Linked DNA regions of Canis lupus familiaris. The protein of the gene in region 4 binds, or shares a complex with, the protein of the main gene of each other region. Links are inferred from orthologs where the notes say so. Each region holds a gene or a part of one and is shown on either strand. Other genes may lie near its edges.

The links.
Region 1: the proteins of PPARG (region 4) and CREBBP are in contact, whole or in part, in a crystal structure (PDB 7RLE), measured with the Homo sapiens proteins. The link is inferred for Canis lupus familiaris from reciprocal best matches to the Homo sapiens genes PPARG and CREBBP. Residues at the interface, in NP_056953.2 of Homo sapiens: Val321, Gln322, Thr325, Glu326, Lys329, Phe334, Val335, Leu339, Asn340, Gln342, Val343, Thr344, Leu346, Lys347, Leu496, Glu499, Ile500, Lys502; in NP_004371.2 of Homo sapiens: Asp62, Ala63, Ala64, Lys66, His67, Lys68, Gln69, Leu70, Ser71, Leu73, Leu74, Arg75.
Region 2: the proteins of PPARG (region 4) and NFKBIB are in contact, whole or in part, in a crystal structure (PDB 9CK0), measured with the Homo sapiens proteins. The link is inferred for Canis lupus familiaris from reciprocal best matches to the Homo sapiens genes PPARG and NFKBIB. Residues at the interface, in NP_056953.2 of Homo sapiens: Gln322, Thr325, Lys329, Phe334, Leu339, Gln342, Val343, Leu346, Lys347, Leu496, Glu499, Ile500; in NP_002494.2 of Homo sapiens: Asn286, Pro287, Ile288, Leu289, Ala290, Leu292, Leu293, Arg294, Ala295.
Region 3: the proteins of PPARG (region 4) and MED1 are in contact, whole or in part, in a crystal structure (PDB 6ONJ), measured with the Homo sapiens proteins. The link is inferred for Canis lupus familiaris from reciprocal best matches to the Homo sapiens genes PPARG and MED1. Residues at the interface, in NP_056953.2 of Homo sapiens: Val321, Gln322, Thr325, Glu326, Lys329, Phe334, Leu339, Asn340, Asp341, Gln342, Val343, Thr344, Leu346, Lys347, Gly427, Leu429, His494, Pro495, Leu496, Glu499, Ile500, Lys502; in NP_004765.2 of Homo sapiens: Asn638, Thr639, Asn641, His642, Pro643, Met644, Leu645, Met646, Leu648, Leu649, Lys650, Asp651.
Region 5: the proteins of PPARG (region 4) and NRIP1 are in contact, whole or in part, in a crystal structure (PDB 9CWN), measured with the Homo sapiens proteins. The link is inferred for Canis lupus familiaris from reciprocal best matches to the Homo sapiens genes PPARG and NRIP1. Residues at the interface, in NP_056953.2 of Homo sapiens: Val321, Gln322, Thr325, Lys329, Phe334, Leu339, Gln342, Val343, Leu346, Lys347, Pro495, Leu496, Glu499, Ile500, Lys502; in NP_001426204.1 of Homo sapiens: Ser130, Thr131, Leu132, Leu133, Ala134, Leu136, Leu137, Ser139.

Annotation. Positions count from the first base shown.
Region 1 is NC_049227.1:37,799,364-37,802,874, reverse strand, and holds part of CREBBP (CREB-binding protein), read right to left. Parts: intron 3,046-3,511; coding exon 2,921-3,045; intron 2,317-2,920; coding exon 2,128-2,316; intron 751-2,127; coding exon 334-750; intron 1-333. UniProt on the Homo sapiens protein: Acetylates histones, giving a specific tag for transcriptional activation. Mediates acetylation of histone H3 at 'Lys-18' and 'Lys-27' (H3K18ac and H3K27ac, respectively).
Region 2 is NC_049222.1:115,001,082-115,005,344, reverse strand, and holds the start of NFKBIB (NF-kappa-B inhibitor beta), read left to right. Parts: upstream 1-1,457; 5' UTR 1,458-1,542; coding exon 1,543-1,721; intron 1,722-4,263. Other genes in the region: SIRT2 (NAD-dependent protein deacetylase sirtuin-2), read right to left, coding at 1,078-1,203. UniProt on the Homo sapiens protein: Inhibits NF-kappa-B by complexing with and trapping it in the cytoplasm.
Region 3 is NC_049230.1:22,961,962-22,965,472, reverse strand, and holds part of MED1 (mediator of RNA polymerase II transcription subunit 1), read right to left. Parts: intron 3,278-3,511; coding exon 3,182-3,277; intron 3,068-3,181; coding exon 2,962-3,067; intron 93-2,961; coding exon 1-92. UniProt on the Homo sapiens protein: Component of the Mediator complex, a coactivator involved in the regulated transcription of nearly all RNA polymerase II-dependent genes.
Region 4 is NC_049241.1:6,278,940-6,283,074, forward strand, and holds the start of PPARG (peroxisome proliferator-activated receptor gamma), read right to left. Parts: upstream 2,812-4,135; 5' UTR 2,724-2,811; coding exon 2,642-2,723; intron 1-2,641. UniProt on the Homo sapiens protein: Nuclear receptor that binds peroxisome proliferators such as hypolipidemic drugs and fatty acids.
Region 5 is NC_049252.1:12,381,597-12,385,714, forward strand, and holds the start of NRIP1 (nuclear receptor-interacting protein 1), read right to left. Parts: upstream 2,809-4,118; 5' UTR 2,682-2,808; exon of another isoform or gene 2,462-2,681; intron 1,573-2,461; exon of another isoform or gene 1,516-1,572; intron 835-1,515; exon of another isoform or gene 456-834; intron 1-455. UniProt on the Homo sapiens protein: Modulates transcriptional activation by steroid receptors such as NR3C1, NR3C2 and ESR1. Also modulates transcriptional repression by nuclear hormone receptors.

The DNA.
Region 1 (3,511 bases), on a different chromosome or scaffold from region 4:
AAGAGAAAAATTACTAAAACTCAGAAGACACCTGCCTAGGATAATGGGGAACCAACGGCTCCTATGTACAGACCTATGTTTGATTTCTTTATAACTACTGATTTCTGAAAACTCGTTTAATTAAAAAAGATAATCTTAAGTTACATCCTGCCAGATCCAAACATGGCCTTTGGAGCCAATGTCGGAAACAAAATATAGCTCCTACAGTTTGATTAGGGTACAGGCACCTTCTGGGGTTGCACCAAGACACAAAGGCAGCTTTGTGACAGGATGTTTTTTATGGGGAAGTCCTCGATTACGAGTCTCAGCCCAAAGACAGATTGCGGGGCTCACCGGTGTGCCAGGAGGCTGGGGGTGCACAGGTGTCGGCTGTTGCTGTGATGACTGCGGGGTAGCCACAGATGGGGGCTGGACTGGGGTTTGAGGCTGTGGGGTCACTTGGGCCGGGGCTGCTGCCTGGACTGTAGGGGTGCTCTGGGTTTGGCTCGCACTGGGCACCGAGCCAGGAGTCGGGGTGGGAGTCTGCCCGGAAGACGACACGGGAGTTGATGGCTGGGTGGGAGCTGCAGGCTGGGGAGGAGTCATCCCGGGTGCCGTCGGGTGCTGGAGAGACGGCATGCCAGCAGCCGTGGAAGCAGGAGGTGGTGTCTGGTGCAATGGTGACTGTGTCACTGGTGGGCAGGGCAGCTGGCTGGCCTGGGGCCCAAGCATGTTCAGAGGGTTAGGAAGAGCAGCACCAGGCACCTGTCCCTAATAGAGAGAACAGAGTATGTTAAAATTATTTCCCCATGTGAAAATGTGACAACAGATTTGAAGAATTAAATGCACGAAAATCTAACCATGGCTTCTTGGTGAGGTCTGCTGGTTTCAAGGGAATGTGCCATTTGTAAAAATTCACCCAGCTGTACACTTACAATAACGTGCACTTTCCAGTGAAGTTAATGCTGTGGAATGCTTTCTTATACTGTGATTTATAGAACTGCTGAAACCTCTGGCTTAAACTAACACATACCCATTCAGCTTACTAGCTTTGTGCTCCAAAACATCTACCCATAGTTTAGATCACTGGAAAAGGTATTTTTCTTTTTATTTATTTATTATTTTTTCTTTTTAAAAAGAAATTATTAAAACACTAAAATGTTTCAGCAAAGTGATTTCCAAATGGAGACTTGCTTCATATTATTTGGACGTTTTAAAAAAGTGATTCCAAATCACTGCTCTAGAGCAGGGGTCTGCAAACTAATGCCCATGGCCCAATCCAGCTAGCTGCCTGTTCTTATAGTAAAGTTTTATTGGAACACAGCCACGCCCATTCATTTATGTGTGAATGACTATGCCTATGGCTGCTTTTCTACCACAACCATGGAGCTGAGTAGTGAAAACAAAGACTCTGTGGCCCACAGAGTTGAAAACATTTACAGAAACAAGTTTGCTATTCTAGAGCAGTAAAGTGCTACAGAAATGAAGAATTAATAAGTATTTAGTGAGTAAATCTAGTGTAGTTAATGACCTTTTTTTTTTTTAATACTTCATGTAAAAAATGAAAACATGAATATTATCTTCCAGGGGAAGATTTGGTCTATTCTAAATACATGCACATGTGTACATAGCAACAATCTGATATATCACAATTAATTATCAAAAGAAAAAAGGCACTAAACAGAATGGAAAATAGTTTTCTTCAGCTTTAAACAGAGTACTTAAAAACACGACGAGAACTATTCAATCAATCCAGTTAGCGGACCTTACCCAGGATGACAAGCTCAGAGAGACAAACAATAGGACACACCAACCAAACTGCCAGGCTGAGTTAACAGGCCTGTCCTCACTGTAATATTCAAGGTCTCTCAGGATCACATGTGAATTTAAAACACACAACTAAAAACCAAGAAAATGATAACTAAAAACCCAAAACCCAAAAAACCACAATCCATTCCGTTTGGTATGAAGTTGAATGATGATAAGAGTCATTCTAAAGAAGGTAAAAATAACAAAACTGAATGGGGGTTAAAAAAAAAATCAAGAGATGCTCAAACGTAAAAATAAAACGTGTATTCTGGAATTCTAATCTCATAAGATATGCTTGAGTCAAGAGGAAGCGGGGACCCCATCACTGGTGCACGGTACCTGTGGCACGCCTGTCTGGGCTGCTGGCTGCCCCATGCCTACACTGTTCACACTCATCGCCCCACTGGAGGACTGGAACTGGTTCTGTGGCAGGAACTGGTTCTGCGCAGGTGCCTGGGCCATAATATTGTTGGCATGAGTGCCCATCATGTTCGGAGGCTGAGGCATCCGGGAAGGAGAAATGGCCATCTAAAAGACAAGTATCATCAAGAGATCAGAGGACAAGAGCCAGAGTCTTGAAGATAAACTGGGAGAGACAGAACTCTGAATCCTCCCTTCCCTGTGGAAAGAGAACCATCACTGAGACCTTCTGGCTCCCAGGCACTCCGCATGCTTCCTCATGCAAGGTCTCCAAGGAACCAACTTCAAATTTATCTCTGAATAGAGATCAATAACATGCTATACTTTAAAGGTCAAAATACACCTTTTACGACTTCTCTGAAGCGTTAAGAAAGTAGCCCCAGTAGAGGAAGCCCTAGAAGTCAGGAGACACTGTCAAGGACCTCTCAACGACATATCTGAGATTGCCCACTCTAATCTCAGAACTTGTATCTTCTCATGAAGCCCCAAGTCCCTATGAATTTATTAGCCCAATAAAAAACAATGGCCAAATAATTCTCATTTATAGTAATGAAGACCAAAAAGAGAGGGACATATGAAGTAAATAAAGCACAATCAAATCCAGAGGACCAAGCACCACAGGATTCTTGGATCTACAATTTCACTGTGTAGGGAATTTTCCTTATTCAAGCAAGGCCTTCTCAGCACAGCTGAGGCAAAAGGAAGCACTTACCCCTGGAACGGAGCCCATGCTGTTCATCGGGACAGAGTGGTTCATGGGGGATGCTGCACGTGGTCCTATGGGAGCTTGTGGCAACTGTACATTCCCCAAGGACATTGGGGTAAATGAATTCATCCCTGTAAATGCACCCACAATGATTCATTAGAAAAAGTACCCACAGGAAAATAGTTACAACATGCCAAACTCTAAGCAAAATAAGTTAGAATATATATGCAAGATGTACAACAGAAATCACCCAGCAAATCAGAAAAGATGGTGACGTAACACTTATCAAATACAGAAAAATGGCACCAATATGGTGGTGAGAGTGGTTTGGTGGGGTGAGGGCAGGGCAGCACAAGCGGATGAAGGGAGAAAGTCAGGTGAAGCACCAGTGAACAAGGCGGCACCAGGAAGGTGCTCCTACCCTCCAGGGAAGAGGTACTGGCTAAGACCAGGGCACCCATCGGTGCCAATCTCCCTAACACCTGCAAGAGCACATGGCTCCCTTCTCTCTTGTCTGCCCCGTCAGCCCAGGCCTCCTAGCTCTTTGGCTGGGTTTACATTTATTGTTAGAATCTGGGATGAGACTTAAAATATGGT
Region 2 (4,263 bases), on a different chromosome or scaffold from region 4:
CCGGAATCCACCATTCCCAGGGGGCCGAACCAGGAGTGGGGGCAAGGGGCTGGGGTGATGCCCTGAGGGCCCTGGGGTAACTGTCTCCCCTCTGCCACCTCCACCCCCCCCAGAGTGTGGGGTGTGGGAACACGTCCATTTCTCTCCTTCCCTCCACCCTTCCCCAAATCTCACCTGAGCCTCCTGCACCTTCCCTGCCTGGGTCTCCAGAGGGTCAGAGGCTGGGGGAGGAGGGGGAGCAGACGTGGTTACAGTGCGGGGCACAGTTAAGTGGGGATGAAGGGCTTCAAAGCAGAGGGGCAAGGGGCAAGAAGACCCACCAACCTAATTATACTGGGGTGGGAGGTGGTGGTAAAAGCTGAGCAGAGGGAGGGAGGGGATGGGGAAAAGCAGATCTTATTAGGATAGACAGTGCTGTCTGGAGAAGTGGTTAGTGACAGACAGAGGCTGGGGCAGGAAGGTTTGGGAGAGGGAGGAGAAAGTAAAGCATACAGGCATGGAGGAAGACTTAGAAGTGAGGAAGCAAACAGTAGTGAGTGTGTGTGTGAGCACGTGTGTGTGCAGGGAGGGTTAGGGTTTACAAACAGAGGGAAGTTTAAAAAAGGAAGAGAGAAAACAAAATACGCTTAGCAGAGACAGGTTTAGGAAAGGAGGTGCAGTGGAGACAGCACGTTTAGGAGGGGCACAGGAACTAGAGGGACGAGACAGGAGGGGGCGCCAGGGGTCCCCGAGCATCCTACAGTTCCCCCTAACAACCAGGTACCCTTAGCAACCGGGGCCGCGGCAATCTAAGTCCTTAGCAACGAGGGTCCTCAGCAACCGAGGTGCGAGAAACACGCGGTCATTAGTAACTTAGGGGACGTAGCAAAGGACCCTTACAATCTCGCGACCCAGAAACCCACCAGCCTGGCAAGATGGATCACTTAGCAACGACCCCCCACCCCCGCCCCGATTCCCACTGGCCGCCATGCAGCCCCCGTCTCCAGCCCCACCACGCCGGTCCTCGGGCCCCGGGGCCTGCAGCCCTCAGCCAGGCCCCGGTGCGACCCGACCCTCCCACCGGGGCCCCCGACTCACGGTCCGGCTCGGCCATGGGCGCGGGGCGGGGGCCCTCGGGGCTGTCACCGACTGCTCTGTCCCGTGACGGCACCGGAAACAGGAGGGGCAGAGACAGGGCAGAGAACTACGACTCCCAGCAGTCATCGAGGATGCATACAGGCTTTTCGTCCAGCGGCGCCTGCCGCTCTCGGGCTAGGAAGACACGGACGGCGAGACTACGAGTCCCAGAGGGCTCCGCGCAGGCAGCCATGTTGGTAAAGGGCGGCCGGAAACTGTGGGAATGGGTAGAGAGCCGCAGTCCGTCTGAATACTCTGAATGGTCACTGTGTGGTAAGGGGGCGGGGCGTGTGCTCTTTAGGTCATTCTGATTGGGTGAGCCAAGGGGGAGTGTTGGGGAATTCCCCGCAGGGCGGAAGCGCCGGGGCTTCAGGCAAAGCCAGCTACAGGCGGGCGGCCGCTGGGGCCCCTGAGGCTTCGGGGGCCATGGCCGGGGTCGCGTGCTTGGGGAAAGCTGCGGAGGCCGACGAATGGTGCGACAGCGGCCTGGGCTCTCTGGGTCCCGACGCAGCAGCCCCCGGAGGACCGGGGCTGGGCGCCGAGCTGGGCCCGGGGTTGTCGTGGGCGCCCCTCGTCTTTGGCTACGTCACTGAGGATGGGGACACGTGAGTGAACCTTAGGCTGCCTAACGGGGCCCTAGGATCCCACCTCTGATTCCCTATTAGTCTCCTATCCCGGCTCCCTAACCTTTCACTCTTAAATCTAACTTCTGATGCTCGACTTTCTGATTTGTAACTCCTAACCTTTAGTAAAACCAATTTCCTAGCCAACTTTGACCCTAACTCCTTAATTTCTCCGACTTTCCTTTCTTGAGCTCTGCTTCATATTGCTCCACATCCCTATCCATTGATCCCCAAACTGGTTTTGATCTTCCCGACCCAAGTCCGGAGACCTTTGTTAGAGTTGTGGTCCAGACAGGCTCCTCCTCACCTCCTACCTCCAAATAGGATCCTTGATCCTTAGCCTCCTGATGGATGCGCCTTGAACTTAGATTTCCAAAATTAATACATGACCTTGATTCTTAACATTCTACCTTCTGAGCACCGATCTTCAGATCTTACATCCAAAGGGAAAACGTAAGCTCCATGATAGCAGGGATTGATGCCTGTTAAGTATTTGCTGAACACCACCACGTTCCAGGCACTGGTTTAGGTGCTGCGATAAAGCAGTGAGGAAAACAGACAAAAATTTCCGCTCTTGTGGAGTTTACATTCTAAGGTGCGTATGTAGACAGACAAAAGGACAGACAGGCTGACAGAAAGACAGGAAGGAAGGGAGGGAGGGAAAGAGGAGAGAGAAGGAACAAAAGAAACTAAGACACAGACGCAAAGTGAGAAAGAAGAGAAAGGAAAAGAAGAAACAAAGAAAAACGAAAAACAGTATAAAGGAAAGGCAGAAAAATAGTGTATCTGAAGGTAATAAGTTCTTTGGGGGAAAAATAAAGCAGGAAAACGAGATCCGTAGAGTATCTGGGGGAGAACTCTCCAGGCAGAAGGAACCAGAATTGTAAAGGGCGGTGAGGGATTGTCCTGGGGTTTTTTTGTGTATTTGTGTCTACTCATCCAGTCATGGTGACTAAACAGGGCTTGACCCATAAGAGGCGTGCAGGAAATATTGTTCTTTCCAAAGACCCCTGCTGAGGTTTCATTAGTTTTCTTTATTGGTTTTTTGCTTTCTATTTCATTGATCTCTGTTTTGATTTTCATTATTGCCCTCTTCGGCTTACTTTGGGTCTAATTTTTTTTTTTCTTTCTTTCTCTCTTTTTTTAAAGTTTCTTAAGGTGGCAGCTGAGATCATTCATTTGAGACCTTTCTTCTCTAACATTGGTGTTTCATGGTATAAATTTCCAGCAGCAGTACTTTAGCAGTCTCTCACAAATTCTGATATGTTGTGTTTTCATGTTCATTTAATTCAAGATACTTTGTAATTTCTCTTTTGATTTCTTCTTTGGCCAGTGGATTATTTAAAAATATGTTATTTAGGGCGCCTGGGTGGCTCAGTTGGTTGAGCTCAGGTTGTGATCTCAGGGTCCTGGGATGAGCCTCCCATTGGGCTCTGTGCTCAAGTGTGGCATCTGCTTGGAATTCTCTCTCTTTCTCCCTCTGCCCTTCCTGCTTATGCTCTCTCTAAAATAAATAAATAAATAAATCTTTTAAAAAGGGGTAGGGGGCAGAGGGAGAGGGAGAGAGAAACCCAAGCAGGCTCTGTTGGGAGCAGGGCGTGATCCCATGACCCTGAGATCAGGGCCTGAGCTGAAGCCAAGAGTTGGTCATCCAACCCACTGTGCCACCCTGATGCCCCTAAATAAATCTTTTTAAAAAAATAAATATGTTATTTAGTTTCCAGATATTTGGAAAGTTTTCCAAATGTCTCTCTTTTATTGATTTTTAATTTAATTCCCTTGTAGACTGAGAACATACTTTGTATGACTTGGATCCTCGTAAATTTATTGAGAATTGTTTTATGGTGCCACACATTATGCGTGCACTTGAAAAGAGTGAATATTCTGCTGTTGTTGGGTGTAGGGTTCTCTAAAAGTCAATTAGTGGTCCTATTGGTTTATCATTTTATATATCCTTACTAATGGTTTCTGTCTCCTTGTTCTATCAATTATTGAGGAGGGGGCATTGAAATCTCCAGCAGTCATTATGGATTTGTCTCTTGTTCTGTCAGGTTTTGCTTTGTGTAATTTGATGCTCTGTTATTAGGGCATGGATATGTAGAATTATTATGTTCTTTTGCTTAGTTGACCTCTTAATCATTACAAAATAACCTTCTCGATACTTGGTAATATTTCTTGCTCTAAAGTCTAGTATGATATTAAAATATTCACTCCTGGGCAGCCCCGGTGGCCCAGCAGTTTAGTGCCGCCTTCAGCCAGGGCATGATCCTGGAGATCCGGGATCGAGTCCCACATCAGGCTCCCTGCATGGAGCCTGCGTCTCCCTCTGCCTGTGTCTCTGCCTCTCTCTCTCTCTCTCTCTCTCTCTCTCTCTGTGAGTCTGTCATGAATAAATAAAATCTTAAAAAAACACAACTCACTCCTGCTTTCTTTTGACTGACTGGTGTTAGCACAGTATATCTTTTTCCACCCTTTTATTTTAACCTATCTTTTAATACCTATATTTAAAGGGTATTACTTGTAG
Region 3 (3,511 bases), on a different chromosome or scaffold from region 4:
TCTCTGCAATGAGGGACAGTGCTGGGGTGTCGGCCTGAATGGTTTCAGCTTTCCTCCGAATAGCCCTCATCGTCACAGGGATGGACATACATCTGTAAGATAAGATAGAAAAAACAAAATCAGCAATGTATTAGCTGCTGAAAGAAAACAATTTTTATTTGGGAAAACAGGCTTTAATTTTGCCTGAAATTCAGATATGTACTCAGAGGTTTACAGTAAGGAATTTTCAGGTAAGGCAAGTAACCGGTAAGACAGAAATAGTTCTATAAAATGCTGGAGCATTGGGCAAATTCATTCTAAAAGGAATCTGTACCAGTAGGCAATCTTAACCTCTTTTAAAGCACTACCCAAAACAAACCAACCACAAAGTCCAAATTACATGTCATACTAAACCAAAAGAAAACTGGTAATAATGAACTCAGTAAGAAAATGCCCTCCTGGGGCGCCTGGGTAGCTCAGGTGGTTAAGCATCTGCCTTCAGCGCAGGTCATGATCCCAGGGTCCTGGGATCGAGCCCCACATCAGCTCCCTGCTCAAAGGGGAGTCTGCTTCTCCCTCTCCCTCTGCCCATCCCCCACCACCTTGTTCATGCTTGCTCTGTCACTCTCTCAAATAAATAAAATCTTTAAAAAAAAGCCCTCCTTTTAGGACTTCACATGTGATTAATGGGATATAATATTTACCTTAATTAATGAAACACTAGAAAAAGCTCTTGAAACATCAAGTTCTAAACCTTAATGGCAAAAAATAATAATAATAATAAAAAAAAACTAAACCTTAATGGTGGGACACCTGGGTGGCTCAGCGGTTTAGCGCCTGCCTTTGGCCCAGGGCATGATCCTGGAGTCCCGGGATCGAGTCCCACATTGGGCTCCCTGCATGGAGCCTGCATCTCCTCTGTCTGTGTCTCTGCCTCTCTTTCTGTGTGTCTCATGAATAAATAAACTCTTTAAAAAATAAATCATAAAATAAAATAAAATAAAATAAAATAAAATAAAATAAAATAAAATAAAATAAAATAAAATAAAATAAAATAAAATAAAACAAAAATAAACCTTAATGGCTTAAAGCATCCCAAAGCTATATTGTGAAAGATGCTATTATTGCTCTAAAATCTTTATTATTTTTTTAAATGATTTATTTACTTATTTACATATGATATATATATAGAGAGAGAGGCAGAGACACAGGAAGAGGGAGAAGCAGGCTCCATGCCAGGAGCCCGACGCAGAACTCGATCCCGGGACTCCAGGATCACACCTGGGCCAAAGGCAAGCGCTAAACCACTGAGCCACCCAAGAATCCCCTACAATCTTTATTATTTTAAAGCAAAGCACTTTTTATCTTATAGATAAGTTTAAAAACGTATTTTCGGGATCCCTGGGTGGCGCAGCGGTTTGGCGCCTGCCTTTGGCCCAGGGTGCGATCCTGGAGACCCGGGATCGAATCCCACGTCAGGCTCCCGGTGCATGGAGCCTGCTTCTCCCTCTGCCTATGTCTCTGCCTCTCTCTCCCTCTCTCTCTGTATGACTATCATAAATAAATTAAAAAAAAAAAAGTATTTTCGAAAACACTTTGCTCTAGAACATTTTAGCAACTTTTCTTAAAGAGACCAAAATAGTAGTATTTTAGGATTTTGAAGATCACATGGTTTTTGTCCAACTATTCTGCCATCTTAGCTCGAAAGGCACCACAGACAATATATAGGGGTGCCTGAGTGGCTCAGTCGGTTAAGTGTCCCAATTCTTGATTTTACCTCAGGTCATGATCTCAGTGTACTGAGATCAAACCCCACATCAGACTTCCCACTCAGTAGAGTCTGCTTAGGATTCTCTCTCCTTCTAACCCCCACCCACCCCTCAAATTCTCTCTAAAAAATAAATCTTAAAAAAAAAAAAAAAAAAGAGACAACATATAAATGAACAAACATAGCTGTGTTCCAATAAAATTTATTTACAAAACAGGCCACAAGCATCAGCTCTAGAAAAATCTCAAAATTACATATTAATGTTTCTGGGAAGCTGACTAGCTTAAAGTATCTTCCTACATGCCACCATTTGATATATTACATATGTTAAAAAGTGATGCAGTAGATAAGTAAAAAAAAAATCTAGGGGCTCAGTTGGCTAAACATCAGTCTTTAGCTCAGGTCATGATCCCAGACTCCCGGGATCAATACCCATGTCAGGCTCCCTGCTCAGCGGGTAGTCTGCTTCTCCCCCCTCCTTCTGGCTGTCCCCCTGGCTCCTTCTCTTTCTGCCTGTCTATCTCACTCTCTATCTCAAATAAATAAATAAAATCTTAAAAAAAAAAATCTACATCTTATTTCAGGTATTTCCTTCCTAAAAGAATCCTATACCAACCTAAAGTTACTCTACCTTACTTCCTATTACTCCCATGATGGTATTTAAAAAACTAAAGCTTGGGGCAGGCCAGGTGGCTCAGTGGTTTAGCGCCGCTTTCAGCCCAGAGCCTGATCCTAGAGACCCAGGATCGAGTCCCACAACAGGCTCCCTGCATGGAGCCTGCTTCTCCCTCCGCCTGTGTCTCTGCCTCTGTCTCTCATTAATAAATAAATAAAAACCTTAAAAAAAATAAAAAACTAAAGCTCACATTGCTTTTGAATCCCAAAGCAGAGAAAGGTGAATTCAAAACAGTGACTACATGCTTCCCTCCTGGGCAGCCCCAGTGGCGCAGCGGTTTGGCGCCACCTGCAGCCTGGGGTGTGATCCTGGAGACCCGGGATCGAGTCCCACATCAGGTTCCCAGCGTGAAGCCTGCTTCTCCCTCTGCCTATGTCTCTGCCTCTCTCTCTGTGTCTATGAATAAATAAATAAAATCTTTAAAAAAATAAAAAATAAATAAATGCTTCCCTCCTAAATTTCCATTCACTTTAATACTGAAAACAGTGTTTCTTATACCCCTCTAAATGGGAGTCTGATGGAAAAGAGCCAGTGCTACCTTTGAACAACTTTGGCAATGAAGTCATCTGTGCAGATGAGTGCATCTGACAGCCCCTTGTACAGTTTACAGCTCACATGTGTTGAGTCCTGCACATCCATTACCACTGAAAGACAAAACATATAGGAGTTGAGAGAAATTCAGCTTCTGACTTTCCAAAAAGAAGATAAAGAGCCCAAACTACTGCCCTAAGAAAAGAGCTAGCCCCCTCAAAACTCACCACACACCAGGGAGTCATTCACAGGGTGCTGAAAAGATACGCTAAAACGGGACTCTGAGAGAGGACACACTTCAAATTGGAGGAGCCCAGGAGAATCTAAAAGGCAAAGAAAAAGATCATAAAATAATCAAATATAAGACTAAATCCTAATAAATAATAATCCCTAAGTATACAGAACATCATTTTCAGTCTCCTTAGAAACTAAATCCTATACATTTTTTACATGCAAAACTACTATATCATTCACAGGTGATAGAATGAATCCGATTCCAAAAAATATGTCAGCTTGTTATAAATATTCCAAACAAATAAGTAACTAAACTTCCACTT
Region 4 (4,135 bases):
GTCTCCAAGGCATATTTCCATTGCTCAATCAGCTCCAAAGGACAAGCATGTCATCATCTTTCAATGCTCTGGTGCAACACTTTAAAATTATAGAATTCACACAGGACTAAGTCTGGCACTAAAAGCAGGAGGCATATTCAGCTTCAGTTTGTGGAAGCTTCCCTTCAGTCTTGCCAATTTTTACTAGTGGAAATGGTTTCAGAGCCAGAATGGGGTTACTTGGGGTTACTTGAGAAGCTCATGATGAAAATAGGGGAATAAGATAAAGGCAGGAGGTCACTGTGATAATGGAGCCCAGGAAAAGCACAGAAGTCCTCTTTGGGCATAGTGGCTACATAAATTTTTGAATCTCATGAATATGACCCATATGGCTTGGACATCTGGATCATTCACACTCAACAAGCCACTTTTACTTCAAAGTAGCACCGAGCTACTTGCAACAACCCCCAATCCCACCTTGTCTAAAGAAGAAGGAGCACCTAAATTAATTACTGTATTAAAGCCAAGTACCTAAACTCTACAGTGTTTCATCTCTGATAGGCTCAAAGAGCAAATGACGATTATGTCTAAATTCTTTTTTTAAAGATTTTATTTATTTATTTGACAGAGAGAGAGAACAAGCAGGGGGAGCAGCAGAGGGAGAGGAAGAAGCAGGCTCCCCACTGAGCAGGGAACCCGAGGTGGGGCTCCATCCCAGGACCCTGGGACCATGACCTGAGCCAAAGACAGACACTTAACTGAGTCACTCAGGCCCCCCTATATGTCTAAATGCAATTGAAGTTAACAATCATAGGTGTTTGGCCTTTAGGAATAACATTTTCAACAGAAAAACAACATGAATAAGAAGTAATCAGAGACCATATAAACAAAAGTTAAATAATTGGCACAATATGTCATTTCTTAATTGCTATTAATTTTATTCTGTACTAATTAAGAAGAAAAGTACTGAGTTATTCCTTTGAAGGGGATTTGAGACTCAAAACAATTAGGCCCTGGGCAAATCCAAGACATAAATATATAGAGATCAGTACAGAATGAAAACTAACTGGAATCACATAACTATCTCTTACCATAAACAGTATTTTTCCTCAGTTAACCTAAAATATTTATTGCACTACATTCTGAACACATTTTTTGCAAACAGACAAAATTATCAAATTTTGACTCAAGGACTATTTCACATCTATCCTGATATCAGCAGGCTAAACTAATAACTGGAGAAAGATAGTAATAATTTCTATGGCTTTTAGAAACAAAGAATAACATATTTTTATATAATATAATGAAACCAAACTCATATTTAAGAGGCTCAGGTGACAGATATATATATTGAATCAAATCACCCTAAGAGAATGAAATAGTATTTCAGGAAATATTTTTTCTTAATTTTTAAACAGCCAAGTGTTTAAGCAAAAAACAAGTGATTAGTATGTTCAAACTTCAGGCTTCCAGAAAAATTAACACATTGAAATGTAAAGGCATTCATTTCAACAATGAAGTGACTTAACTGTAACACTTCAGCACTTATTTTATAAAACACAAATCACACTAGTTAACACAATCTATTTTTACATAGTATCTATGAGAAAAAATAACCAGAAATATAGAAATAAATATGAAACAGTACAAAACAGAAGAAGCTGTGCTAAGAAACTCCAGTAGAAGGAGCTGTAGAAATGAAGAACTTATATTTTGCAATGGTCAAGAAAGGAATTTTGAAAAATGAGGTATCTGCTTGAATCTTATATATTTGAGTGCAAGTAATAGCTAATCATTTACTTAGTATGCAATAGGCATTTAGGGATGTTATTTTCTTTGTGTGTAAAATGAAATGCTTGGAATAGACATTCTCCGAGGCCCCACAATCTATTTATTCTATAATGCATTAGGCACCATGCTAGGTATCCTAAGAAATCTAAAGAAGATTATAAGCTGGTTTTACACTCAGTGTACACTTCTCTGGAAAGATAACATGTACAAATATCTAGATTTCAAAGTAGAACAAAAACATGTTGAGAGAGCTTTAAGAGGAATAAAAATGCTGTGGGAGGGATAAAAGCCGCCTGAGAGATATGTACCATAAGACTATAAAACGGGAAAAGGGACACTCCCCCCACCCCAGGTATTCTAAAAAGACCTTAAGTATATTTAGGAAAATATATAGGGACACCTGGGTGGCTCAGCAATTGGGCATCTGCCTTTCTCTCAGGGCATGATCCCGGAGTCCTGGGATCGAGTCCCACATCAGGCTCCCCACAGGGAGCCTGCTTCTCCCTCTGCCTGTGTCTCTGCCTCTCTCTCTCTGTCTCTCATGAATAAATAAATTATTTTTTTAAAAAGGAAAATATATAAAACTAGAAAATAAAAATGAATAGGATCTTTAAAAATATAAACATACCTTTAATGCTTAAAATTCAGGAAATGGGAGCTATGCATAGAGATAAATATGGATTAGCTTAGGCTTCTTTTTCAAAGCTCTGATGCTTATAAGTGAACACAAACACAGCAAAGTAGACATTAAAATAGTGGCCTAGACACAACTCATACTAGAATGTAACTTGGAAAACAAACGACAAGAGCAATTTTACCATTCTATAAATGCCCAAAGTAACCCAAGAGCCGTATCTGGAGTTGACTTTACCTTGTGAAGTGCTTGCAGACAGTGTATCAGCAAAGGAGTCGCTTTCTGGGTCAATGAGAGAATCTCCCAGAGTTTCACCCATAACAGCATGGAAGAGGGATTTTCTGTAATTCACACTGATATTTTGTCTATTTCTTGCAAAAGACCAATCCATTAAAAGAAAAAGACTTGCAGTAGTAGAACTTGTGAACACAACCAATGAGTTAAGACATCAGTTTCCAAATATTTGGGAGAGGTGGGAATAAATCCACAAAGGACTAGGCCTGAATTGGCTGGTACTGTCCTGTTAGAGAGCCAGCTGTGACAAATGTTGTGTCATGATGTTGCTCACTGCTTTGGCAAGACTTGGTACATTACAAGGAAAACATTGCCACACTGTCTCGCCAGTGACCCACATGTTCTGTGTCTTGTGAGGGGTGTGAGTTGTACAGTATTTAGAGCTATCGGAGCAAAGAGATTGTTCAATTTTCAATTGTTTCTTAAACTTTACATCTCTGGGTTATGAAGTACCAGATAAACTTACTTCAACAACATTTTTTTGTAGCTGCCCATCCCTGGTTGAATCTCTAAACTGTTATTATCTGAAGAAAACTATTTAATTAAAACATGTACTTGTATTTTAAAGTTTGGCATCAGCATGCTGCTGAAATGTTATTTTCTGAGGCATTTGTTTGCCAACTTTAGAAAGGCCAAAATGATACTAACAAATTCTATAAAATTAAGTAGTTGAGAGATATAGTTTAGATGTCGTGTATCAGGGTTTGCTTTTTTAGTCACTTGATTATTAAGTTTATCCATCACTAGGCAAAGGCAGTACTGCTGTACCCATGTCTGAACATAGCAGATGTTTAAATGATAAATGCCATGTCATAATGAAAAAAAGTGGAGTTCTCTCTGAGAAGAATAATGTATTAGCCAAAAAAAAAAAAAAAAAAATTGACTCACACTGATAGGTTGGCGAGGAACTGTGGTCAGTTTTGTAATCAGGAGAAAGCTGGCTTCTTGCTCAAGTCCTTTGCCCTTTTTGGCAAGGAGAAACACAAGCCGTGCCAAACTTCAGCATGGAAGCAGGTCCCCACTTGTCACATAAGTGGCCTGATAGAATTGCAGTGACTTGTGGATGTAATAAAGATGCCCCCACTTAGGGCGATATACCAGATGGCAGTAATTCCCTTCAACTTAACCCAGTATTCTCCAAGTGGAATAAGTCTATCTATTTAATCTACATTGAGTAGCTAACTGGTCATCCTGCAGGGGAACTAACAAAAGTTTCCCTGTTAATCACACAGCAACAGCCTGGTGGGGAAAATGCTCACAGGGTCTCAACAGCACAGAATAAAGTGGAGAACTGGGCATTGATATTGCTTAAAAGCCTTTGAAAACCAAGAAACTTTTACTAAGGTAGTTCAAGTTAAAGCAAGCTCCTTGACAGTCCAAATGACTGAGGTAATTATAGGTGTGTAGAACTAGGTTATTCAGCTTGAATTGTCAATA
Region 5 (4,118 bases), on a different chromosome or scaffold from region 4:
ACCAACTAAACCCAACTGACATTACCAAACCGCCGGACAAAACCAAAACAACTTATTTCTAAGTTGAAAAACATTTCAACACACTCTAGGCAGCAACCCACACTTGGGCGCCAAGCAATTGAAACATTACTTGTTTAGAAAGTCCACTTATTTCAGTGTCTCTTCCACGAAGGTAGCAACCTGGTTACTAAACACTGAATAATCCGTCGGGAAAATACACCCACTTGCTAAACCTGTGATTCACTAATAAGCAGGTTCCATGGAATTCATAACTTTAAAGAATGAATTACCAAAGCCTTCTGCTTCACAAATCCCCCACCCCCAGAAATGCAAAAGCATTCATCGTATAGATCCCAACAACCATTTTCACTTTGGACATCAACAGACGGTCTTTCTTCCCCTAAAGACAGTTTTTCACCCCCCGCACGATCTCACGATTTAATCATTTACATTACCGGAGACAAACTCCAACTCAGCCCCACCGGCTGAGTGAAAAGTCCCTGTAGCTAGGGACGTCTTCCTTTTCGTCCGAAATAAAATAGCCTATTAAGAAATGTAACGCAAAAGTACTCATCACTCTGTTCTTCTTTCACTATCTTCAGCAGCCAATTAAACCACTAATAGGATGGGAGATGGGACCGCCTGTAAGGCTTCAGAGATCAACATGTGTCAGACTCCCAGCCTGTTGGCCCGTGAGACACAGTTGATTCCTTTGTTCCTTCAGACTGCACAGCAACTCTTGGTGGAAATTTGGAAACTACTTTGGAAAGGACGGGAGGGTTTGTAGAATATTTCCAGGGAAACCGTGCATAAAACAATATTCACTAGTAGCTAAGGAGGACACAGATAAGAGGGGAAGGAAGCCTCCCAGGACCTCCGCAGGGCTCACCCCAAACGCGAGCCCCGCTTGGGGCTCAGGGGGAGTGATGGGTGAGGCCTCGGGTGCAAAGAGCCTCGCCCTCGGGGGAGGGCTGCGGCGGGGGCGGGGGCGCAAGGGCCGAGCGGCCGGGCCCGGGGGCCCGGGCAGGGCCAGGAGAGCTGTCCCTGCTCCTGATCACTTTTCTTGGCCCGGAATCCAGCGAGCGCGCCGCGCCGGCAGGCACCGGGCGGGAGGCGGGAGGCGGGGGGCAGCGCCCGGCGCCGCCCAGGTCGCCCCGGGCTGCAGGACCCGGAGCCGCGCGGCCACACGCGCCCGGGCTCCGGGCCGAGGGGGCAGCCGAGCGGGGCGCGACCGCCGCCTCCGGGGAACCCACCGTGAGCCCGGGGCCAACTCCGCAACTTGCCGGGCCGGCCGCCTGGGCCCCCCGAGGTCCCGGGAAGACCCGGCGCCGGCAGGAGCGGCGATGCCCCCGCCCGCCCCGCCGCCCCGCCGCCCCCGCGGCCCTGCCCGCCGCCGCCGCCGCCGCCGCCGCCGCCGCCGCCGCCGCCGCCGCCGCCGCGCTCCCGGGCCGTTTCCGGCGGCGCCCGCGGCAGCTCGCGGAGCTCCCGGCGCCCCCGGCCGCGGCCGCCACTCACCGGAGGCCGCCGCGGCTCCGCGCCCCGAGCTCCGCCAGGCTCCCGCGGCTCCGCGCCCGCCGCCCCGTCCTCCGGCGCCCCGGGAGCTCCGCTCGCACGAGCAGCGCCGCCGAGCGCAGGGGCGGCCGCGGGCCACGGGCGGGCGTGCGCGGGGCCGGTAGTCCCTCCGCCTCCGCCTCCGCCTCCGCCGCCGCCGCCGCCTCGGCCGCCGCCGCCGCCTCCGCCGCCGCCGCCGCCGCCGCCGCCGCCGCCTCCCGAGTTCGGGGCTCTGCTGCAATGTCTGCGAGGCTGACTTTGAGCGCCTCGCTCGCCGCCCGCCCGCCCGCCCGCAGCCGCGCTCCTCCCTCCGCCGCCGAGTCCGCCGCGGCCCGGTCCCTCCCCTCGCCGCTCCACGCCATTCAGCTCTTCAGCCAAGTTTCTTAACCCTTTTCTCCCCCTCCCTCCCATGGCCGCCGGGGCAGGGGCAGCCTCTCGGGGCCCCGCAGCTCGCGCGAGCCGAGCCCCCGCCCTGGGCGCCCCGCGGCCGGCGGGCGGGGGCTGCGGGCGCGGAGGCGGCGGGAGGCCCGCGTCGGGGAGGGAGGGCCGGGGGCTGCCCGCGCCGCCCCCCCGGCCCCCGGCCCCCGGCCCCCGGCCCCCGGCTCCGTGCCGCCGCCCCTGCCCGGACAGCTGCCCCCCGGCCGGGGGCTCCCGCCGCGACCCGGGCCGGGGGCTCGCGCTGGGGGGCCGGGGCAGGCGGCCGGCACCGTCCCCTGGCGCCGCACGACACGCGCTCCGCGGCTCCCGCCCGCCCGCAGCCTCCCCGCCCGCATCCGTGTGTCCTGCTTCACTGGGGGGGGGGGGGGGCGGGGGCGCCAACTCCGGGCCGCGCGGACCCCACGCCGCAGCCCGCGGGAGGCCCCCAGGGCCCGAGGGGGAGCGGCTCCGAGGGCGAGGCTGGGAGGGAGACCTGAGGAGCGCGCGTCCGGCTCCTCGGCGGGCGTAGGACCCAGGAGCAGGGCTTCTCTCCGGCTGCTTTGTCACCGCGAAGTCCCCGGCGAGCCCGCCAGCCAATCTCCAGCATCCCGGCCAGAATCCGACCCTCTAGCAGCCCAGGCAAAAAGAGCAGGGCTGCCACCTCCTCGGCGGCCCCGCTCTCGGCTCGGTCTCCCGTACGAGGTGACAATTACATCACGAGGCCGTGGCGGCCGCGCCGGGGAGCCTCCCGGGTTCCTGCGGCCGAATCTCGCCGAACCCGCCTCTGAACTGGGGGGATCTGGGGTGGCGGCGAGGGAAAGTGCAGAGGAGACAGCGTCCTACGAACCGTGATTCCTCCCCCCACCCCTTGCCTTTCCTGCTTCAAAACCTTACCCCCAGTGCGCCCCCGAACACCGTAACTGAACTATTAACACCCCTTCCACACCTCCCCAGACGTCAGGTTTCTTTCTGACTCTAGCATCTAGCAGTTAGTAACTCGCCGTGAAAAAAAAAAAAAAAAAAAAAAAAATTACCAGGGGAACTGAATGTCATCGCCGAAATTGTTTTTTGCTTCATTAAAACAAACATAACAAACCAAACCAAAACAGAAACGCTGAAGTACAGCTGAACCCCAACCTCGACTCCGAGAGGGCATGCCTACGGTAAAGCACATTATACAAAACTTGAGTGAATGAGGCACTCCATTCTTATATATAGGTTTTCATACCCTTAAGAATTCTATGACATTTGGAAATAGAGTACTTAAACACCAAAAAACCCACTATCCTAGTCATGAAACAGTTTTCTATGCCTGTTATGTAATGGCTGTGCTGTGCATTTAAAATTTCATTTAACCTTTCAAAATATGAATGGAAGTTCTGCCATACCTTCAAATCTTAAGAGTGAAAGCAACGCTAAAGATAAATCCACCACCTAGCCCAGTGCTGGGCACAGGGTACGAAGGGTTTGCTGAATGGTGATGGTGCATTTTAGAACAATTATTTTACATCACCCTAGTGATTCAACTGTGCAATCTGTTGCCATCTTATATAGTTTACACTTCATAGGATGACTTATTGTGTGTATGTACCATAGTTTGAAATCTGCTCAAGGCAACTTAGTCAAGCCGGCTGTTCTACATGCATCATTATCTAGGGTTGATGCAAAGCGAACTGTTCCAATTAAGTGATGATCAGCAGAACTGGCATCTGGCCCTTTAAGGAGTCAAACTTCTTTAAAAACAACAACAACAACAACACTGTTAAGTGCTATACAAAGATTTTCTAAAATGGGTTATTTTTTTTCTTAAGCAGTTTATTGGACTTCATTTGGCTTTTCTTGAAAATTGAGGGTTAATATTATTAAAAGTGTTTACTGTGGTAGGTTGTAGTGGATTCAACGAATACATCAAGTTTCTATTCTACATCAGGCTTCTTCCTAGGTGTTAAAAGATGCTCCCAGGAGGTACATACACCATTAATGCACTGAAGGACTCTAGGATGTTAGGACTTAGTGATTTTTTTTTTTTTTTCTGCCTTTTGTAGTTCCTCTATTCCCCTTCGCTGACAATCTGTTGGCCTTTTTCTCTGTTGCCACAGCGGGCCTGTCTCTAATATTTTTCTCCTCTTCTGATTGGCAGCTTCTGGTCT